6 linked regions of the Sus scrofa genome follow. The protein of the gene in region 3 purifies or fractionates together with the protein of the main gene of each other region. This does not show direct contact. Links are inferred from orthologs where the notes say so. Each region holds a gene or a part of one and is shown on either strand. Other genes may lie near its edges. The genes, in order: TBL1XR1, DPF2, SMARCC2, BCL7B, BCL7C and ACTL6A.

Region 1 (3,500 bases), on a different chromosome or scaffold from region 3:
CACTTTAATGCAAATATAGGACCTTTATGCTGCCCCAAGGTGCTAGCAAGGTTACCTAATATTCAAAAGGAAAAACATTAAAATTACTTTAAACTGTATAACTTAGATCAACACTAATAGCAAATGAAAAGAAAAAGTGCTTCATTTACCATCTTTAGTCCATATTCTGGCAAATCCATCATAGGAACCAGTTGCTAGAAGTGTACCTTCACTCTGTAAGAGAAACATACTTCTTCAATTAAAAAATCCAGAAAGGACATTTAATTGTTATCAGAATATTTCATGTTTAAATCCCAGGTACAGCTGATCTGTGACATTCTCTGCTTCAAAACCTTCAGCTTTGCCTACTTGGAAGAGCCATGAAAGGCCTACAGAAAACCCTTCATTGCTGTAGAATTTTGTCAGCATTTAGTCATGATGTGAGCCTCATGTCAAAATCTCAAGAATGGCAGCAACTGCTCTGGTGCAGGATCAACATCACTCTTGTGCATGCTAAAGTTTACTACATTCCCATAGGTGCACGTGACTAAAGATGGGGGTGGGGTGATGGATTAGGAAGGACATCAAAATCATAACTTTATAATGATTCAGGAAAAGTAGAGAGAACCCTTTCAAAATATTTCATTACGATTAGAAGTTTTTATAAAGACCTCCCTCTAAATCTTTTATTGTCTAAACTATGTGTCTGTATGTCTGTGTGTGTTCCAAATAATATTGTTGTTTCAGATGATCAGATACTTAAATATCACTGAATGTTTCTTTCCTTTCTTAATTATTTCCCAATATGAAATCCTTACAATAAAAACAGCAACACAAGAAAAAGAGCCAGAAAAGAGTGTAGACTGACTTTATAGTTAATGAAGTAAGTACAGTTGCCTGGAACTACTCTACTATGAGGAGAAATCTATACCAATTTCTCTAATCCTATATTCCCTTATTCCCTTACATGTGCCTTACTTGATTAATGGTACAACACAAGGACACACTTAACTTATTCTACGGAAGTACAAGTGACAGAATACACAAAACAGACTATTGCCCGGATGAGTAAACATTATTAGAGAGAGAGAGAGAGAGAGAGAGAGAGAGAATGCAAGCCTGCCTTACTCTGTACTTTTTGATACTTTCCAGTAAGTGTATTGAAAACACAGTCACCTTTTTCAGACCTCAAGTCATTTACCTGTACAGGTAAGTGGCAAACGAATGTTGGTTCTATGGGTTGTAGACTGAGATTTGCTAGGATTTGAAAAGGCCCTAAGGAAGAAGCAGCAATGCTGAAGCCAACAGCAAAATCTTAATTTCAGACTCGGAACAATGGAAAGTTTCCTTCTAAAATGGTCCCCAAATGTTTTAAGATCATGGACCACTAAAGTAGGAAAAGAACACTTTAAAGATCAGATATTTCACAGGCTCTTGCTTTAGTCATGGAAAAGAGCCATTAATCAACAGTAATATATTCCCCTTTTAGTGGAAGATTTAAGCTTGTAGTGAAAATAAATCTTCAAAAGTCCACACTTTAAAAAACTTTTAACTTGCAGTTCAGAACCACCAAGTTCAACATACCATTTATTAACCATTCTTTTCAGTGTAATCAGTAAACTTCATTTAATTAACATGGCCTCCAAGACAAACAGATTAAGAAAGACAGAAGGCCTTTAATCTATGATATAGTTAGGTACCATATTAAGAAGACAATTCTTAGTTCTGACCCTTCGACCAAGTAATAACTGAAATGTGCTAAACTTCTTTTCATTTCTAGAATTCTCAAATTTATACAGGGGAAGAATAAACACATTGCTGGAAATTTAGAAAAGAATATTAAAAAATCTTACCTATGAGTTCTGGAAGAATTTCATAGAGTAATCATGTTTAAAGATAGAGCTCATTTCTTGGAATAAGATTTGGAAAATCCTTTGGAAAGCCCCACAAAGTTGTTAAACAGAGGCCAGAGAAGGAGAAGATGTCCACTTGCTAAGGAAAGGACAGCTGACCCTAAAAATTCTTAGTAACACTGGTGTCTGAAAGGCTTCTCAGAACTGGGGTGGGGGGTGGTGTTTAAGAAACTGATGTAAAGTTACAAGGAAGAAAAAGGCAACATGGGATAAAGAGAAAGATACAGAAACTTTAAAAATGGTGATTTCCTGCAAATTAATAATGGGACTGCAAACAAAGCTGTTAATCATGTATTTGAGGAGTTCCTGCTGTGGCTCAACGGTAATAAACCCAACTAGAATCCCTCAGGATGCAGGTTCGACCCCAGGCCTCGCTCAGTAGGTTAAAGGATCTGGCATTGCGGTGGGCTGTGGTGTAGGTTGCAGATGCAGCCTGGATCTGCAGCTCCAATTTGACCCCTAGACTGGGAACTTCCATATGCCACAGCTGCAGCTCTTAAAAGAAAAAAAATCATATATCTGAAACTGAAAGGATAAAGCTTTATCAATAATGAAATAAAACTTTCTAGTAAATCAGAGTAGTCAAGTTATCCTAGAAAGATTCTGAATAATATATAGAATTAGAGAATGTTAAGATTCATACAGCTAGAATGCAGCTTGGAAGACATCTAGACAAACAGTTCCTGATGAAAACTTCATTGCCAACTGCATGCTAAGGTCTCCTATATTCCAATAGATGTACATGACTAAAGATGGAGTGGGGTGATAGTCTGGGAAGGACATCAAAATTATAACTTTATAATGATTCAGTAAAAGTAAAAGACAGCTGGCAAAGAAGTTTTTATCAGTTCTCAGCTAAATAAGAGAAAGAAGAATATGTTTTTATTGTACAGATTTCCCTTATACCTCCAGCAAAAGGCTTAGTAGTTAAGAATTTACTATGTGCTTGTTACTGATTTTCATTTTTACTTCATTTATGTGGGACCATTAATACATACATTAATACTTTACATGTAAGGAAAGTGAAGCACAGAGTGATAGACCAGTTATATGCAAAGGTTCTGCAGCTAGATAAACTGAGGAGCTGGAAGATGAACTTTGGCCTGCTTGCTTGAGCAGTCTTTGTTTTTGACACATTAGAGAGGTGGGGACTCCTAGTTTGTTGTTCTTACTAGTCAGTGAAATCCAAAAAGTAACTGAACAAACAGACATACCCTGTCTTAAGTCTGAGGCTCAGAGAAGTTCAGTATATTAATAACTAGATCCATCATGGACAATACAGTAATACTCACATTCCAATCTAGAGATGTCACATCCTTGTTGCTTGGGACATCTTGCCCTCCTTCTCGTATACAATGTCTAAGTACTAACTGTGTGGAGCCACTAGTGCTATTTTCACTAAGATTCCATATTCTTGCTGTTGAGTCTCCAGACCTATAAAGTATGCAATATATTTTAAATCCTCATGATATTCTCAAGTATTCCAGAATCAAGGCAACATATTTACATCCTATTATTAATAAGGCAAAAAAAAAAAAAAAAAAAAAAAACTAGACTATCAGAGATTTCCATTTCCAACATTTTTCTCAGTCTCCACTTTGGGGGCCA
Region 2 (3,334 bases), on a different chromosome or scaffold from region 3:
TCAGAGCTGGGGCAAGCAGGAGTCGGCCAGCCTGCAGGGATGTTGAGAGACCCAGAGGCCCACATGGGCGTCATCAGAATTCCTCCCTTCTCCCTGTAGCCAAGAAGGGTCCCGATGGATTGGCCCTACCCAACAACTACTGTGACTTCTGCCTGGGGGACTCGAAGATCAACAAGAAGACAGGACAACCCGAGGAGCTGGTGTCCTGTTCTGACTGTGGCCGCTCAGGTACTTCCGATCCAGGGCCAGGGCTGCCACAGCCGGCACCCAGTGCCCAAGGGGTTCGTGGCTTGCCAGTGTCCAGTGGCTGTCACAGTCAGCCAGGGTCACCTTGCTTCTTCCCCATTGCTGGCTGCCTCTCACTCGATCCCTCCCCCACAGGGCATCCGTCCTGCCTCCAGTTCACGCCTGTGATGATGGCAGCAGTGAAGACCTACCGCTGGCAGTGCATCGAGTGCAAGTGCTGCAACATCTGCGGCACCTCTGAGAACGACGTGCGTAGCCCGGCCCCGCCCCCGCCCCCGCCCCCGCCCCCAGCACACTCCTCAGCTTTTACTGTCCTCTCCACCCGTGGGAACTTGGATTTGTTAGGCAGGTGTCAGACGCTGTTCTAGGCACTGAGGACACTAAAGAAAAGGTGTCCTGCTTTCATGGAGTTTACATTCTTGTGGGAACAGACAATAAGCAAGAAAGTTAAGTGACATTTTTATGATGTTCCATGAAGAAAATGAAACCAGTAGTGTGGCAGGGAATAACTGAATAACTTTTAGGCAGCCAGATCTTATTTTGTTTTATTTTTGTCTTTTTTAGAGCTGTACCCACAGCGTATGGAAGTTCCCAGGCTAGGGGTCCAATTAGAGCTGTAGTTGCTGGCCTACACTACAGCCACAGCAACTCCAGATCTGAGTTGCATTTTTCGCCTACACCACAGCTCACGGCAAAGCCAGATCCCTAACCCACTGAGCGAGGCCAGGGATCAAACCCAAGTCCTCATGGTTCCTAGTCAGGTTTGTTAACCACAGCCATGATAGGAACTCCTCTTTTGATTTTTAATGGCCTCACCCATGGCACATAGAAGTTCCCAGGCCAGGGACTGAATCTGAGCCACAGCTGCAACGTACACCACAGCTGCATCAACGCCAGATCCTTTAACCCACTGCACTGGGCCGGGAATCGAACCTGAGCCTCTGTAGTTGGAGCTTAACCCACTGTACCACAGTGGGAACGCGGCCTTTTTCTGAGGAGGTGATGTTGGTTTTGAGCTTTGGGTGATACAAAGAAGATAGTCCAAGAAGATTTGGAGGAGAGTATTCCCAAGAAAGAGCAGCAAGTGTAAAGGCCTAAAGGTGGACACGCCAAATGGATTGAGACCACTGTAGCCAGCAGGAGCTCTCCTGCAGTGGAAGAGCAAGTAAAAGACAAGACTGGAAGGCAGGCACCATCAGGCCTGAGTTTAATCAGGGGTGATGTAGTTTGTCTTATATTTTAAAAAGATAACTTTGGCTGCTCTGTGGAAAACGGGTTGAAGGGAACACTGTGGAGACCATGAGATCAGTTAGGGAGCTGAGAGGGGGGGTCCAGGTGGAATGACAGTCACTCTGTCTTGTGGTTTTCTGTCCAGAGAATCCCATGTCTGTTCTTACCTGCCATCCATCCCACCCCTCCTATAAGCAGCAGCAGTGTCTCAGAAGCCCTCCTTCCTAGCCAGCCCCAACGGCCCAGCTGAGGCCCACTGGTCATTCACCTCCCCCTTCCTCTTCCATCTTGCCTTCTCTAGGACCAGCTGCTCTTCTGTGATGACTGCGATCGTGGCTACCACATGTATTGTCTCACCCCATCTATGTCTGAGCCTCCTGAGGGTATGTTTCCTGGATCTCTTATTCGGAACAGTTTTTTTGGTTTTGTTTTTTTTTTAGGGCCACACCCTTGGCATAGGGAGGTTCCCAGGCTAGGGGTCAAATCGGAGCTACAGCTGCCAGCCTACACCACAGCCACAGCAACGAGGGATCCGAGCCCTGTCTGCAACCTACACCACAGCTCATGGCAATGCCAGATCCTTAACCCCACTGAGTGAGGCCAGGGGTCAAACCCGCATCCTCACGGACACTAGTCCAGTTCATGAACCCCTGAGCCAGGACAGGAACTCCCAGAACAGTTATTTTTAGTCACTTGGAAAATACTTGACATGAAATGAGTTCTCGTATCCGTGATACGTTCTTCCAGATGAGAGAGTAGGCACTTTGCTTTCACTCAGTTCAGAGTGCTTTCCTAGCATTGCAGCTTTGAGGGTTTAATGTTTGTATGTTACCGCCAGATAATATTTACAAACACAGAAAAATCAACAGCCTAAGGGAAAACATGCTGAGCAGAGAAAGATTACTAGAAGGAGAAATTTGTTTTCCTCCAACCAGTCCTGGAAACTCAGTTCATAGTTTGTTTGATGTGAAACTTTAGTTTCAACATTCCAGACTTGACACGTTTGATTCATTTCTGCCAGTTCTAGAGAGGGAGTTGAACCTGGAGCCTGAATGAGTCGCACGGCCCCTCTGGTGCTTAATAATGCTTCAAGTTTATGGAAGATCTTTGATGAAACCACTGGTGGCACCAAAAAGTAGCTGCCTCCCTGCAAGTCTTAGCCCATCCAGATTTCAGTGCCAAAGTTCCTTCTTTATAGAAATTCACAGTAGCTGTTACTATGACAAAGGATGTGGGCCAGCATTACAGGGAGAGAAAGCGGCTCCTGTGTGATGTGAGCTGATTTGGAGTGTAGGTCAGACTGCTGTCACCCCTTAGAGGAGGAGGCCTCTGACAAAGTCTGAGGACCCTTTGGCAGCTGCAGGGGAGCACTCAGCTCTTGCCTGTCATGCCAAGTTATAAATCTACTTTGGGAAAAAGTAGTATGTTTTGTGTTTTTGTTTTTAACCATAAAATGTCACTTCACAGACACAATTCTGAACTTACTGTAGAATGGCTTTCCTACTGCAGTACAGTTAGACACTGAGGTGGTGGAGAGTTGCAAGCAGCTGGGAGGCACACCACTTAGGAACCATCAGATGGTCTCCGCGCCAGGTCAGAGGTTAGCGAACTGTGAGCTGCTGTCCAAACCTAGCTGCAGCTGGTATCTATAGCTCAAAAGCTTAAGGTGATTTTTACATTTTTTTAAGGGAGGGTTTTTGTTTGTTTTTAGGGCCACACCCTCAGCATATGGAAGTTCCCAAGCTAGCAGTCGAATCAGAGTATGTCACAGCCACAGCAACACAGGATCTGAGCCTCATCCGTGACCTACACCCCAGCTCACAGCAACACTGGATCCTTAACCCACTGAGTGAGGCCA
Region 3 (3,151 bases):
TTCCGACAGGTGCCCACACCAAATCTCAGTCTTGTGTTTGGCTTCCTCTGTCCTCCCCCAGCCTACCCCCTCAAATCTCCCCGCCAGGTCCCTGGCTGCCCACCTCACTGCAGTGGGGTTAGTTTGGTGGTAACTCTTGTTCTTTTCAGCTCCAAAGCTTTGAATCTGTCATTACTTTAATTTGGAAAATGCTTCTACTAGTTCCTCTTGTCAATTCATGTTCTTTCCTTCCTTCAAAACTGGAGGAAGGCTCATCATCCTTAGGAAGCCTTCCCAGATCAGCTCAATAGCCTCTGCCCTCTTGGCTTTTATTCTGTTCTGTCTCAGGATTTGTGTGTGTGTGTGCTTTTTAGAGCTGCATCCACAGCATATGGAGGTTCCCAGGCTAGGGGTCGAATCAGAGCTGCAGGTATCGGCCTACACCACAGCCACAGCAACACCAGATCCGAGCCACATCTGTGACCTACACCACAGCTCATGGCAACGCCGGATCCTTAACCCACTGAGTGAGACCAGGGATTGAACCTGCATCCTCATGGTTACTAGTCAGCTTGTTTCCACTGAGCCACAATGGGAACTCCTCTCAGGATTTTTATACTTGATCAGAAATCTCTTAACTTGCATCTGTGAGCTATGTTGAGCATTAATTGTTTTCAATGTCTCCATATTGTACACTTGATGCCTCTAACTAAGGAGATCAGTGTCAGAGACACTGTCTTCTATTTCTTTTATATTTTCTCAAAATCAACACTTTATCCTTCCCATTTCCTTTCCAAGTTCACCTCCTGGATCTGGAGCCCTTACCCTCTCATGATGCCTTAAACCTGTTCACTCAACAAATCTTTACGGACCGTCTACTATTGGCCAAGCACCGTTCAAAAACCTGGAGACACAGCAATCAAAGAACCGACTAGAACCTGGCCCCAGAGCTGACACTGGGGACTTGGGCTCCAGGCTGTACCTGTGGGTCACCTGTCCTTAACCACCTGGGCTACTCTGCTCTGCTGTGAAGCCCTGTCAGCCTCAGGCTCTCTGCACTGCTGCTCCCTCCATCCTAAACAGAGGGCCAGCTCAGCATCAAGGTGGGACCCTGGGCTCCTCGGACTCCGCTGGGGACACAACTCACCGCTTCTCGCTCCCGGTCCATGATCGTCTCTAGCTCCTCAAAGTGCCGGAGTTTGATCTCCAACTTCTTCATCTGGGTTTCCACCAGCAGGGCCACCAGGGATTTGATCTTCCTCTCCTCAACGGCAGCCAAGTGCTAAGAAAGGAGGGGTGGGCCAGCGGTCAGCAGGAGGACCCAGCTGAAGACGCTCCAGGCAGAGAAGGGTCGTGCGGAAGCGGGCAGGTTTTAAGAAAGAACTTGCTGTGGTCACAGCGCAGAGAGTAACGTGGGCTTGACTGATAAGTAGAGGGTAGGGACAGGCCCAATAGCAGAGGCTTAAAAAAGCTTAGAGAAGGAAGTGCCCATGGGGCACAGCAGGTTAAGGACCCAGTGTTGCTGCAGCTCTGGCACCGGCTGCAACTGTGGTGCAGGTTCAATCCCTGGCCTGTGGACTTCCACACGCTGGGTGTGGCGATTAAAAAAAAAGCTTAGATACAGATGGCCAACAAACACATGAAAAAATGCTCAACATCGCTGGTTATAAGAGAAATGCAAATCAAAACTACCATGAGATATCACCTCACACCAGTCAGAATGGCCATCATTAATAAATCCACAAATAACAAGTGCTGGAGGGGTTGTGGAGAGAAGGGAACCCTCCTGCACTGTTGGTGGGAATGTAAACTGGTACAGCCACTATGGAGAACAGTTTGGAGATACCTTAGAAATCTATACATAGAACTTCCATATGACCCCACAATCCCACTCTTGGGCATCTATCCGGACAAAACTCTACTTAAAAGAGACACGTGCACCCGCATGTTCATTGCAGCACTATTCACAATAGCCAAGACATGGAAACAACCCAAATGTCCATCGACAGATGATTGGATTCGGAAGATGTGGTATATATACACAATGGAATACTACTCAGCCATAAAAAAGAATGACATAATGCCATTTGCAGCAACATGGATGGAGCTAGAGAATCTCATACTGAGTGAAATGAGTCAGAAAGACAAAGACAAATACCATATGATATCACTTATAACTGGAATCTAATATCCAGCACAAATGAACATCTCCTCAGAAAAGAAAATCATGGACTTGGAAAAGAGACTTGTGGCTGCCTGATGGGAGGGGGAGGGAGTGGGAAGGATCTGGAGCTTGGGCTTATCAGACACAACTTAGAATAGATTTACAAGGAGATCCTGCTGAATAGCATTGAGAACTTTGTCTAGATACTCATATTGCAACAGAAGAAAGGGTGGGGGAAAAATGTAATTGTAATGTATACATGTAAGGATAACCTGACCCCCTTGCTGTACAGTGGGAAAATAAAAAAAAAAAAAAAAAAAAAAAAAAAAAAGCTTAGAGAAGAGATGACCGAGTCTCCCTCCCTCGACCAAAAGGCAAAGAAAACAGGTCAGCACTGTTTAAAGGATGACAAGGAGGGATTTCTTGCAGGTGATGTGAGATCAGAAAAGGGGCATCTCCTTCCTTGGTCCCAGGGCCTCACCTTGGCCTTCACGGCGGCAGCGGCCAGGGCGGCAGCAGCAGCGGTGGAGAGGTTGCCCTCGCCGATGTCCCGCTCCACCTTTGTCTTCCTTTCCCCCTCCGATTCCACCTCCTTCAGCACTTCCTCCTGTCCTTCCTTGGGCTCCTTCTCCTTCTCAGGATCAACTGGGCCAGGAAAAGGGGGGGTCAGTCCTACAGCCTCGCTCCATTCCTGGACCCCAACCACCACGCTGGAGGCTCACCAATCGGGTCCCCATCACTCTTCTCTGACTCCTTCTCGCTGTCACCTTCTTTCCCTTTCTCGTCATCCTTCTTGGGCACCTCGCTGGTCTTCTCCTTTGCTTCTTCCTCCACAGCCCCAACTCCTTCTCGGGGTTCCTGGAGCCCCAGGGAAAGGAAAGGGGAGACTATTAGGGAGACTGGTTTGCATACGGAGGGCCCAGACCAGGACCTGAGCTTATGCCCCTCACAAGGAAGGCGACCTGGCTTCAGGATGCAGCCCCATCCAAACCCGGCCCTGCCAGAGCT
Region 4 (3,500 bases), on a different chromosome or scaffold from region 3:
TGGAGATAATAGCTGCCATTTCATAGGGTTTTTGTTTATTTATTTATTTTTATCTTCTTAGGGCCACACCCATGGCATATGGAGTTTCCCAGACTAGGGGTTCCATCAGAGCTACAGGTTCCGGCCTACACCACAGCCACAGCAATGCCAGATGTGAGCCACGTCTGCGACCCACACCACAGCTCACGGAAACGCCGGATCCTCAACCCACTGAGCGAGGCCAGGGATCAAACCCACAACCTTATGGTTCCTGGTCGGATTCGTTTCCATTGTGCCACGATGGGAACTCCTCATAGGGTTTTTGAACAAGTCATATCAGGCATCAAATATGAAAAGTGCCCTCCTTACACAGAGCCTGGCACTTGATTGTGTTGCTATTTTCTGTTTCATTCTGTGAAAAGGAAAATACAACCATTCCCCACAATAGCCCAAACAATTAACAAATGGCTTGAAGCTGCCGGCTCTATCGTACCTTCTCTAACCTGTTACTCAAAAGAAACATCAAGAGCAGGAGGCAAGGCCCCTCCAAAACGTGCATCCTGGGCCAACAGTGACTCACCCTCAAGGATCTCCTGGCCCAGAGTGGGAGGCTGGGAGTCATCTGTGCGGAAGTCAGAGGTGTGCGCTGGGCTCAGCGACTCGCTCTGCTGGGGGCTAGGGCTCGAGTTGGTGCTGCTGTCCACCTTGAGTTGATAGACATCAGACACAGAACTCTGGTTGCTGTTTTCATCTGAAAACCAAACACGACAAAGGCAACAGCTAAGGGTGATCATTTTCGAGAGTAACTCAGTACAGAGCCACGGGCCTGGTGTCTCTCTGTCGGCAATGTGGACACAGCCAGGCTCACAATGACCGTGGCTGCAAATGGCCCCAAACCAAAGGTGGACACTCATGGGCCTTCTGAGCACTGCCAATTATCAACTAAGTTTAAGCTGATTAGATTTTGGGGGGCTGCACCCGTGGCATACGGAAATTCCAAGGCCAGGGATTAAATCCAAGCCAGGGACTGAATCCAAGCTGCAGCTGTGACCTATGCCATAGCTGCAGCAATGCTGGATCCTTAACCCATTACGCCAGGCCAGGGATCAAACTCGCGCTGCCACAGAGCCAATGCTGCGCCACATCAACAACTCCCTGGGTTGACTAATTTAAGTACTTTCTTTTTTAGAACATAAATTCTAAGCACCACATGCAGCCAGAATCTTTAAGGATATGCCACATTTATATTTCAGGAATGTCAAGATATGCTTATTAATCACTTCTTTATTACCCACCAATGATAGCTGGGTCCTGGTATTTTCGCACTGACCAGTGACGAGAGGGACATGGCTGTGCCTCTCGACCTTTCTCACAATAAATACAAGAGGTGCAGAAGACGATCAAGGCTGGCTCCCATTCCCGGCTAGCTGAAGGAAGGGGGTGGTGTCTGGAGGGGGTCAGCTCAGCCCTTTCAGCTGCCCAGGCTCCACTGACTGCCTCAAGGACCAAGGGACCCCACCTGGGAAGCGCTCTCTGAAGGCTTAAAGTCCCCACCTAAGTTAAAAACAGAGCCAACGATTCCTTCCTCTCCCTCACCTCCAGCAGCCAGTCACCAAATCTGACCCATCCGCGGGATGCTCTGATATCTCTTGTGTTTCTCCCTCCTCTCCTGCTGCCTTGGTTCAGGCCTCATGATCACTGGCATGGCCTCCTGCAACAGCCACCTGACTGCCCTTCCTTCAGCCTCAGGCACTCCCAGTGCACCTCACACCATGGCCAATGACCTCTCTAAACCCTTCTGTGGTGCCCTGCTGCCTACGAGATGGCCTGCTCCCTGTCACAACCTACAAGCTCCTTTCTGATCTCTCGCTCACTGTCCGCTGCTCTTCCATACGCACCCTCGGCTCCAGCCACGCTGGACACCTACCTAAGCGCGGTTTCACGCAGAGGCGTCCAGGAGGACTTGCTCCTTCCAGCTTTGCTGCAAAGCCCCTACACCTGCCACCATTCAGCTCAGGCATCACTTCCCCTGCAGGGCCCTGTGACCCAGGCTCCCTTGGGTGGCAATGACCACGCTCCCATCTCTGCTCCTGCTGCATCCTGGGCACACCTGCATTAACTGTTTCACACACAAGGCTCCTTCCAGGACACTCTGTGCTGGCAGACTCTGTGGCTTACTGGTCCTTGAATCTCCAGCACAGTCCTCAGTAGCTGGCACATAGCAGGAGTTGATGAAACGCTCACTGAATGAACAGGATGAGCTGTGGCCCGACTGCGGAAGCAGCGCCTCCTGGGTCTCCCAGAGCGTCACAGTGACGTGCTCCCTCACGGGGCTAGAGAGCCTGTCCCCAGTCTTCTCTTCCTCCATCACCACGACCTTCCTTCCTCTCGGAGCAAAGAAGCGGATACCTGGTCACGCCCAGGCTCGTCCCGAAGAGACAACTGTAAGCCCTTGCTAGTCTTTATCCGAGAAAGATCACTGCCTTCTATATAAAATGCAAGTAGCATTTTACTATAAAAAAGAATAAAGCGCTGTCACTTTTAAGCTTAAGCAAACACTTTTCTTCTCGGAGCATCAGTTTCCTTAAATAGGGATGACGATAACTGCCTGCTTCATATCACAGGCTGATGTAAGGATAAAAATGAGAAACTGAAGTGAAAGTGCTGCATGAACACTGCCAGCAGGTGTACAAGGTAACATGAGCGCAGTGCTGACTCAGGCCAGACGTCTAGCGAAAAGCAGCTTAGGAGGCAGACCTTGGACTAAGAGTGGACGGGCAGACGCCTCGGCTCTGGGGGCCTCTACTCTAAGGCACTCCGGAAATACACAGTTTAAAGAAAAGAGCTTCTGACCCAGAAAACCAGGACCTACCATGGGGTCTGTCACTTACATGCGATGTGACTTTAGATACATAACCTCACCTCTCTGAGCCTCAGTTTCCTTAACTGCAAAACGAGGACACTGTCACCTCTCCTGCAGGGCTATTTTAAATGAAAAGACTCACATAAAGTGCCCAGCGAGATACCAGCAAAACAGCAGGCACTGAAATGACACACAGACTACTCTTCTGATCATTAATGGGTTATCTAAGTTTTTTCCTGCGAGGAAGACATATGGATGCAACTCACCCTGGAATTCAAGAAGGAGAGAGGAATTGGCTGAGGCATCAGAGGGAAAGCCATTAGGTTCCCGGGCTGCTGAACTGTTCGATTTTGACTTTTCTTTCTAGAAAAGGAAAAAAAGAGGAATATGACAGAGCCAAGCAGAAGACCCACAGAGAGGGAAGAGGTGCTGAGACACCACAGAAGTCTGGATCAGGAACAGGAGGACGACAGTGGCTTCAGAATCCGGGACCCAAGGAATAACAGAATACTGGACAAGGTGTCCCCAGGCCCCAGTGTCTCTATCAGTGAAATGGGCCCTTCCAGCACGAATATCAGGAATCACAAGTGAGAGGCAGAAACGTATGCTTCCACTAGAGCTCCCTGTGGCACTCCTCTGCTTTCTGCCCTGAGCAGAA
Region 5 (4,183 bases), on a different chromosome or scaffold from region 3:
AGTTCGAATCTTGACCTCGAGCAAGTGACTTAATTTCTCTAACCCTGTTTTCCCATCTGTCAAGTGGGGATAATTATAGTAATTACCACATCAGATGGTGTATGAATCAAAGGAGGTAACACAGGCAAAACCGTTAACACGGTTTTAATGCGGTGAGTGCTCGAGAAATGCCAATTATGGTTTTTTATATCAGTAAAGGTACACGAGCGTGTGCTACGATCCAGACACAGAACGGAGGCCTAAGTCCTGGTGTTCTTGGAAAGGAACAGTGAGGTCAGCAGGGGACGGTTCGGGAAGGGCCCAGAGTGCCAAGCTGAGGGGTCAAAGGTCAGAGGGAGCCATCGAAGGTTCTGAAGCTGGAAAATGACCCCATCAAACGCATGCTCTGGTAGCTGTGTGGGTGCAGCTGGAGGGGAACAGACCCATGAGGAGGCCGGAGCCGGGTGTGGGTTAGAGAGACGACAGGGCCTGGGCAGGCAGAGGAAGGCAGACAGACACATTGAGAGATGGATCTGATCAGACAGGGGACTGACTTTACGGGAAGAAAGAGGAGCTGATGAAGACTCAGGCCCAAGATCCTGGCTCGCTGGCTGGGTGAACTTGGGCAGCTTCTCTGGGTTTCGGGTATATCATCTCTCAATGGAGATCGTAGCCCTCATAGGGCTGCAGTGGGGATGAAATGAGATAAAACATGGAAAGAGCTTAGCGGGGTGTCGGGCACGCAGAAAGAGCTCAGTAAGTATTAGCTGTAACTATCACCGACTGTTAATCAGTCTTTTGATTATTACCTATTCCTCAACAAATATTTCTTGAGCACCTGCTAGGTGGTCCGCAGTGTTCCGAGGATACAGCCGAGAACAGGATCAAGATGGGCCCAACCTTCAGGAAGCGGACAGGAGGTGGGAATGGGGAAGAAAGATATTTAACTACTCAAAAGCTAAATTTACATGAAAATCTGTGATAAGTTATCTACAGACCCAAAGAAGCCAGAGGAAGGCCAAAGGCCCTAGAGGAAAGGCAGTCACTTTCCACAGGACTCAGGGATGGTCTCCAGAAGACTCGACACAGGAGGGGGACCAGACAGAGGACAAGTGGGGGGCTGCAACCTTGGAGAGGACAAGACACAGAGGAGAAGGTTCCTGGGAGGCACCTGGTCCTACCTCTCTCCTGGCCCAGCTGTGGGGGCTGAGCATCCTCAGGGACCCCTTCCGGTGGTCCAGCAGGTGACACAGGGCGGCTGGGCTGGGGGGTGCCCCCAGGGCTGGGCTCCGTGCCCTTTTGCAGGGAGCCTTCTGAATGGAAGCTCTGGTTACTGTTCTCATCTGTGGGAGCAAGAGCAGAAAGGGTTGGGTCTGAGGCGCCCAATCCCCTCCTTCATTCCCCACCGCTGCCCCAAAGCCCAGCCAGCATCCCCGACATACCGTTGAGATCGAGCAGGATGAGAGGGCCCCCCCCTCGGGGACTGGCGCCCCTGCCCCTCCGCTCGCGGCCTCGGGATCGCTCTGCGCCGCCACCTGCCCTCCGACGCTCCTGGGGGTTAGAGGACGAAGGGTTACAGTCAGCTTTCTAGTTAGTGCTTGCAAAGCCCCCACTGAACAAATAACGACATTGAGGCACAGAGAAGCAGAAGGCCCTCCGTGAGCGACAGGTTGTGCGCCACGGCGGCGGCGGCGGCGGCGTTAGGCCGTGAACTCAGGGGGTCTGGTGGCGGGGGAGGGGAAAGAGGCGGAGTTGCTAATAATTGTTAACATCTGTTCCCGAGGCTGCATGTAAGGTCTAAGTGGGGACTGGAGGTGGAGGCCAGCCGCCGGGAGGGGCTTGCCCGAGGTGGCCCAGATGCAGGGCCTGGTGTGGGGGAGCTTGCTCACCTCTTCCTGGGGGTCCACCACTGGCACCCACTTGAAGATACGCAGGGAAGTGTCACCCACAGTCACCCAGCGCTTCTCCCTGTGGGACGGTGGAGGGACGGGGTCAGAGAGGCCTGAGGAGAGAGCCAGCCCAGGAGCTGGATGTATCTGGGGATACGTGTGGAGGTGGGGGTGGTGCGCAAAAGAAGCGGCAGCGTGGCTAATGGGACTTGGAGGGAGAAGCCCGGCAGACCTCAGGGCATAGGTGGGGGGCGGGAGAAAGAGAGAGAGGGAGAGAAAAAAAAATAGGCTGGGGTCACGACGCGGCAGACCCCTGGGGTATACATGGAGAGCGCGACTATAGGCCTGGGACCACAGCCTCGAAGATCCCGGGGCACACTTGCGGGAGGAGTGTCAAAGCTTTAGGGGGCGGGGCATAAAGGGGGGGTTCCAGCTCTGGGAGGGCAGGGCTGGGGAACACGCTTTGTAGACCCCAGGGTGTAGCCAGGAGAAGAGAGATAGAGCCCTGCAGATCCAGGACGCAGCTGGGGGCGGCGGGGGAGAGGGGCACACCTAACACCTGGGGGCCACAGGTGGCGGAGGGGGTGTGGACGTGTCGGGGGAGGAATGGCCCGCCGTGGCCCGTCCCTGGCCCCCGGGGCAGCGCTCACCATCTCCGGACCTTCTCGATGGTCGCCATCACCTTCTTGATGTCATCCTTGGCCCGGCTCCGGGTCTCGGCCCGCACGGTCCGGCCGGCCATGCTGGCGGGGCTGGGGCCGAGGCCGAGCCCGCGGCTGGGCCGCCTCCCGTCCGGCGGGCTCAGGCTCGGCGCCAGGCCGGGGCGCCGCTCTCTCGGCCTGTCGCCCCTCCGGGAGTTGGCCGCGCCCTCCCTCGCTCCCCAACGCCTCCGCGAGTCCCCGCCCCGCTTCCTGCCGCCGCGCCCCGCCCCGGCCCGTCCCCGGAGCCGCCCGGCGGCGCGGGCGGCCAGAGCCCAGGCCTGGAAGCCGGCCGGCCCCGCCCCGACCGGGCCCGCCGCCTCCGCCTCGAGGCGCCCGGACGCGCAGCGCCCCCTGCCCGCGGCCGAGAGGGAGGTTGGGGCAGCTCGGCGACTGGACGCGCGCGGCGGGGCTGCGGCCGTGCGTTCAGACCACGTGGGCGCCAGGGGGCGCGAGAGGATCTGTGTCCCGGGTGCGACCGCTGCGCGTGGGTGGACCCTGGAACGGTGTGTGTGTTTGTGTGTGTGTGTTTGCGTGTGTGTGTGTCCCTTGCTCGGCTGCCTGGTTCTACGCTGCAACTATCTCTTCATCCATTCATTCTACAGGCTATTAACTGAGGGCCAGTTACGTGCCAGACACTGTAAATGTACTGAGTGCCTCTTCCACCCTCCAGAATGGCTCAGATGAGACCTTGCCAAGTGGAGGCGAAGTAGAGCAACTGGACCTCTCATATTTCTGGGGGAGTGTAAATTGATAGAGACACTTTGGAAAGCTGGCGCTTTTCTAGTGAAACCGAACGTACACCAACCCTGTGACCCAGCAGTTCCGCTCCTGGATGGTTAACACCCATCAGAAATGCGTGGGTAGGAGCCCCAAGGGACCTGTACTGGAATGTCCATAGCTCTGTTCCTAAGCGCCTCAGGCTAGAAACAACCCATCCACAGGGCCATGGAAAATAAATTGTAGCCTGTTCACACCATGGACGACAGGGCAAGGAGAGTGATGTCCTGCTACACACAACATGGGGACGTCTCGTGAAAGAGGTCAGAGAAGCAATACGCCCTGTGATCCCATTCAGAGAAAGTTCTGGACAAAACCAATAAATGGTGCGAAACACCGGGGAGAGTGGTCACCCTGGGGACTGGGAGGGGCTAAGAGGGGCCTCTGGGAACTGGTCAGATTCCGTTTCTTAATCTGGTGCTGGTTCCCACGGCATATTTACTCTTGGAAAATTCGCGGAGCTGTACATATAGGATGTGTGTACTTTACCCTGTGTCTATAGCACGTCAATGAAAAGCTTACTTAAAATACATGTGTCTTGGTTGATTTTGTTTGAGGCTGTGTTTGCCAGCAGGTATGACATTCTAAATTTGTGTTGCTGTGTGTGAATGTGTCAAGGGTGTGGCTCTCGGGTCTGTGTGTTTTGGTGTGACTATGTTCAGAGGTGGTTATGACATCATTTCTGGGCCAAATCGCTGGGGTAAAATCCCAGCTCTGCTTGTCCAGTGACCTCAAACAAGTCACTTATCACTATTTTCTCAGCTGTAACATGGGAATGAGTTAATATACATGTAACTCTTAGAACAGCATCTTGCGCATAGTAAATACCCAACAAGA
Region 6 (3,500 bases), on a different chromosome or scaffold from region 3:
CCTTCCCCTTGAGTTTATATTAAACTTATAACCCTATTGTCCTAGAAGTAGCACAACTGGCTAATTAAGTAGTTGAAATAAGGAATATTTTTCATAACTACCCAAGTTTTTTTTTGAACATGACTTTTTATACACCCTTAGTTTTAGCACTACGCTCCATGCAAATAAATTAACTCAAAAAGAATTCTGAGGCAGTACACTGGCTAAAAATTAAATCTAGGGTTTAAGTAATATGTAATCTAATAATTATATGGTATAAAATATGGAATTTGTCCTTAAAATTTGTCAAAGCACAAAAAATACGAAGGTAAGAAGATCTAAACTAAACTCCATGTTGGAAGTTCCCTTGTGGCACAGTGGAGCTGTGGCACAGGCTGCAACTGCAGGGCAGGTTCAATTCCTGGCCCAGGAAACTTCCCCGTGCTGCAGGTGCAGCCAAAAACAAACAAACAAAACCCCACTAAACTCCATGTAAAAGTTACAGAATTTAAACCACACCTTCCTGAAAAATAAAACTGAACTACACACATGAAAAATCACCAATAACATATTTTGGCTTGCCACATTCTGGAACAGCACTGTCCAAAAGAATTTTCTGTGATGACAGAAACGTTCTCTAGCAAGTAGCTATACTTATGACGTGGCTAGTGCAACTAAAGAAGTGAAACTTAAAATATTTAATTTGAAATTGCTACATGTGTCCAATAGTTACCACACTGGACACCACAGCTTTAAAATTACACATTTTTGGGACTTCCTGTCGTGGCTCAGTGGTAACGAACTCAACTAGTATCCATGAGGATGCAGGGTTGATCCCTGACCCTACACAGTGGTTTAAGGATCCAGTGTTGCCATGAGCTATGGTGTAAGTCACAGATGTGGTTCAGGTCCCGAGTTGCTGTGGCTATGGTGTAGGCTGGTGGCTACAGCTCCAGTTCAACTAGCCTGGGAACTTTCACATGCTGCGTGTGCAGCCCTAAAAAGACAAAAAAAAAAAAAAAAAAAAAAAAAAGAAAATTACACATTTTTCCTTTGCTAGGGACTTCATTTTTTTACATATTCTATTAGAAAATGGACTTCAAAGTCAATGGCCAAAGTTGCCAACTTAAATGATGGCAATTATAAATAACGGGGACACTGGTTTGCCCTGAAAGACAGCTTTATGCCATAAATAAAACTGGCACTTACTGGTCTGATATCAATATCGCACATTCCAACACTTGTAGTGACCACGTGACTGACACCCAACATTGTATTTCCTGATAATCCCTACAACAAAACAGAAACGAATAGTCACAAAGAAGAACTTCAAACAATAAAGCACATCCAAAAAAATTTAACCTTATTTAGGATTTATAATTACATAGAGATTTTTATAGGAAAAACCAAGCTAATTATGAAATAAGCTTTTATACCTTTACATTGGAAGGGTCAAATAATCCTTCAGGAATCTTTAACCGTTCTGCTCCAAAATCACAGTTGTAGCCATTGGGGAATTCATAATGAACAGTTGGCATCTGTGCAGCTACTCTAAAACATCAAACAATATTAAACAAAAGACAAAAGCAATCCTCTTAAGAATTATAAACTACTAAGGAATCAACAACAGGTAAGAAAGCAGAGTGAGAATCTTCTTTTAAAATGTTATTTAGTACTTCTTAACTTTTTACCTTTAGACCAGTTAAGCATACTCTACAATTTGTTTAACTAATCAATTTCTGTCCTAATTTATAAAGTATGCAGTTTTTTTTTTAATTGGAGTATAGCTGATTTACAATGCTGTGTTAATTTCTGGTGTACAAGAAAGTAATTCAATTATATATACACACAAACATATTATACAATTTTTAAAAAGATTAGTATGAAGGTTTTAATGAGCTCTTAAATTATAAGCCTCATAGAAAAAATAAGAAAACATACTGTTCATCATAAGTTGAATCTGATACTTGAAGTACTGACGCTTGAAAATCTTGGATAACACACTAAGGATTAAACAAAAAAAGAGTTAAGACACAAGGTTATTGAAATTTGTCTTTGCAATCTATATTTTTATAAACTTTTTTTTTTCTGCTCATGTCTGCAGAATGCAGAAGTTCCCAAGTCAGGAATTGAAGCTATGCCACAGCAGCAACTCAAGCCACAGAAGTGACAACACCAGATCTTTAAGCCACTGAGCCACCAGGGAACTCTGAAAAATATTATTTAAAAAAAAACTTTTCTTAATGAAACTGGACCACATACCTGGATGGCTAAATCATTTTGAGGGTATAAATCTACCCAGCAAGGTCTCTGAGCCTCAAGAAACCCAATTCTAAACACTCACATTACAAGCTAAATTGTATAACATTTAAATTGTAACCATCATCAGAGTTCCCGTTGTGGCACAGCAGAAACGAAATCCAACTAGTATCCATGAGGATATGGGTTCGATCCCTGGTCCTGGTTCAGTGGTAGGCAATCCAGCACTGCCATGAGCTGTCATGTAGGTTGCAGACGGGGCTTGAAACCTGCATTGCTGTGGCTCTGGTGTAGGCCAGCAGCTGTAGCTCTGATTTGACCCCTAGCCTGGGAACTTCCTTATGCTGCGGGTGTGGCGCTAAAAAGCAAAAATAAATAACCATCAGGGAAAAATGATGAGATAAAAAACAAGTGGGAATACTTGTACCATAGTCCTACATAACAACATTGGCTTTAGAACAGTTTTATCCTTTAAAATAAGCTTAGGGAGTTCCCATGTGGCTCAGTGGCTAAGGAACCTGACTAATATCCATGAGGATATGGGTTCAATCCCCAGCCTCTCTCAGTGGGTTAAGGATTCAGCATTGCTGTGAGCTGTGGTGTAGGTCACAGATGCGGCTGGGATCCGGCGTTGCTGTGGCTGTGGCGTAGACCAGCAAGCTACAACTCCAATTCAACCCCTAGCCTGGGAACCTCCAAATGCTGAGGGTGCAGCCCTAAAAAGCAAAAATAAATAAATTAATTAAATTAAATAAGCTTAGACTTAGCAAGATTTCATTAGCTGAATATATTTTAAAATATATATATATATATATATTGCATCTTCCGTAATTTTTTGACTGACATAGTATAAAACAGTCTAAAAGTTGTGAAATACATATGACCTCTGAGTTGCTAAGGAAAAATCTCGTTGATATTTAGGTAAAATTATTATTATTATTTTTCTTCTTTTTAGGGCCGCATCTTGCAGTATACAGAGGTTCCTGGGCTAGGGGTCAAATAGGAGCTGCAGCTGCCATCTGCAACCTACATCACAGCTTATGGCAACACCGGATCCTTTGACCCACTGAGTGAGGCTAGGGATCAAACCCACATCCTCATGGATACTAACTGGGTTCTTAACCCACTGAGCCATGATGGGAACTCCTAGGGAAATTATTAATAAGCTTCAAAATTTTTCCTTGTACCAACCCCCCCCCCAAAATACTTATCCTTAGGTGTAAAAAACTGTCAAATAGGATATATCCCTGCCATAGAAAATT

Evidence for each region.
Region 1: the proteins of SMARCC2 (region 3) and TBL1XR1 fractionate together in Homo sapiens (co-fractionation; 3 studies listed by BioGRID, with this or other methods). This does not show direct contact. The link is inferred for Sus scrofa from reciprocal best matches to the Homo sapiens genes SMARCC2 and TBL1XR1.
Region 2: the proteins of SMARCC2 (region 3) and DPF2 purify together in Homo sapiens (affinity purification with mass spectrometry; 8 studies listed by BioGRID and IntAct, counting the BioPlex papers as one, with this or other methods). This does not show direct contact. The link is inferred for Sus scrofa from reciprocal best matches to the Homo sapiens genes SMARCC2 and DPF2.
Region 4: the proteins of SMARCC2 (region 3) and BCL7B purify together in Homo sapiens (affinity purification with mass spectrometry; 3 studies listed by BioGRID and IntAct, counting the BioPlex papers as one, with this or other methods). This does not show direct contact. The link is inferred for Sus scrofa from reciprocal best matches to the Homo sapiens genes SMARCC2 and BCL7B.
Region 5: the proteins of SMARCC2 (region 3) and BCL7C purify together in Homo sapiens (affinity purification with mass spectrometry; 4 studies listed by BioGRID and IntAct, counting the BioPlex papers as one, with this or other methods). This does not show direct contact. The link is inferred for Sus scrofa from reciprocal best matches to the Homo sapiens genes SMARCC2 and BCL7C.
Region 6: the proteins of SMARCC2 (region 3) and ACTL6A purify together in Homo sapiens (affinity purification with mass spectrometry; 8 studies listed by BioGRID and IntAct, counting the BioPlex papers as one, with this or other methods). This does not show direct contact. The link is inferred for Sus scrofa from reciprocal best matches to the Homo sapiens genes SMARCC2 and ACTL6A.

Annotation. Positions count from the first base shown.
Region 1 is NC_010455.5:115,338,229-115,341,728, forward strand, and holds part of TBL1XR1 (F-box-like/WD repeat-containing protein TBL1XR1), read right to left. Parts: intron 3,327-3,500; coding exon 3,185-3,326; intron 214-3,184; coding exon 150-213; intron 56-149; coding exon 1-55. UniProt on the Homo sapiens protein: F-box-like protein involved in the recruitment of the ubiquitin/19S proteasome complex to nuclear receptor-regulated transcription units. Plays an essential role in transcription activation mediated by nuclear receptors.
Region 2 is NC_010444.4:6,873,165-6,876,498, reverse strand, and holds part of DPF2 (zinc finger protein ubi-d4), read left to right. Parts: intron 1-99; coding exon 100-494; intron 495-1,777; coding exon 1,778-1,859; intron 1,860-3,334. UniProt on the Homo sapiens protein: Plays an active role in transcriptional regulation by binding modified histones H3 and H4. Is a negative regulator of myeloid differentiation of hematopoietic progenitor cells. Might also have a role in the development and maturation of lymphoid cells.
Region 3 is NC_010447.5:21,566,614-21,569,764, forward strand, and holds part of SMARCC2 (SWI/SNF complex subunit SMARCC2), read right to left. Parts: intron 3,002-3,151; coding exon 2,866-3,001; intron 2,789-2,865; coding exon 2,625-2,788; intron 1,262-2,624; coding exon 1,127-1,261; intron 1-1,126. UniProt on the Homo sapiens protein: Involved in transcriptional activation and repression of select genes by chromatin remodeling (alteration of DNA-nucleosome topology).
Region 4 is NC_010445.4:10,852,315-10,855,814, forward strand, and holds part of BCL7B (B-cell CLL/lymphoma 7 protein family member B), read right to left. Parts: intron 3,206-3,500; coding exon 3,109-3,205; intron 731-3,108; coding exon 560-730; intron 1-559. UniProt on the Homo sapiens protein: Positive regulator of apoptosis. Plays a role in the Wnt signaling pathway, negatively regulating the expression of Wnt signaling components CTNNB1 and HMGA1.
Region 5 is NC_010445.4:17,546,163-17,550,345, reverse strand, and holds the start of BCL7C (B-cell CLL/lymphoma 7 protein family member C), read right to left. Parts: upstream 2,801-4,183; 5' UTR 2,611-2,800; coding exon 2,519-2,610; intron 1,948-2,518; coding exon 1,869-1,947; intron 1,531-1,868; coding exon 1,422-1,530; intron 1,323-1,421; coding exon 1,161-1,322; intron 1-1,160. UniProt on the Homo sapiens protein: May play an anti-apoptotic role.
Region 6 is NC_010455.5:117,618,915-117,622,414, reverse strand, and holds part of ACTL6A (actin-like protein 6A), read right to left. Parts: intron 1,983-3,500; coding exon 1,921-1,982; intron 1,531-1,920; coding exon 1,416-1,530; intron 1,270-1,415; coding exon 1,189-1,269; intron 1-1,188.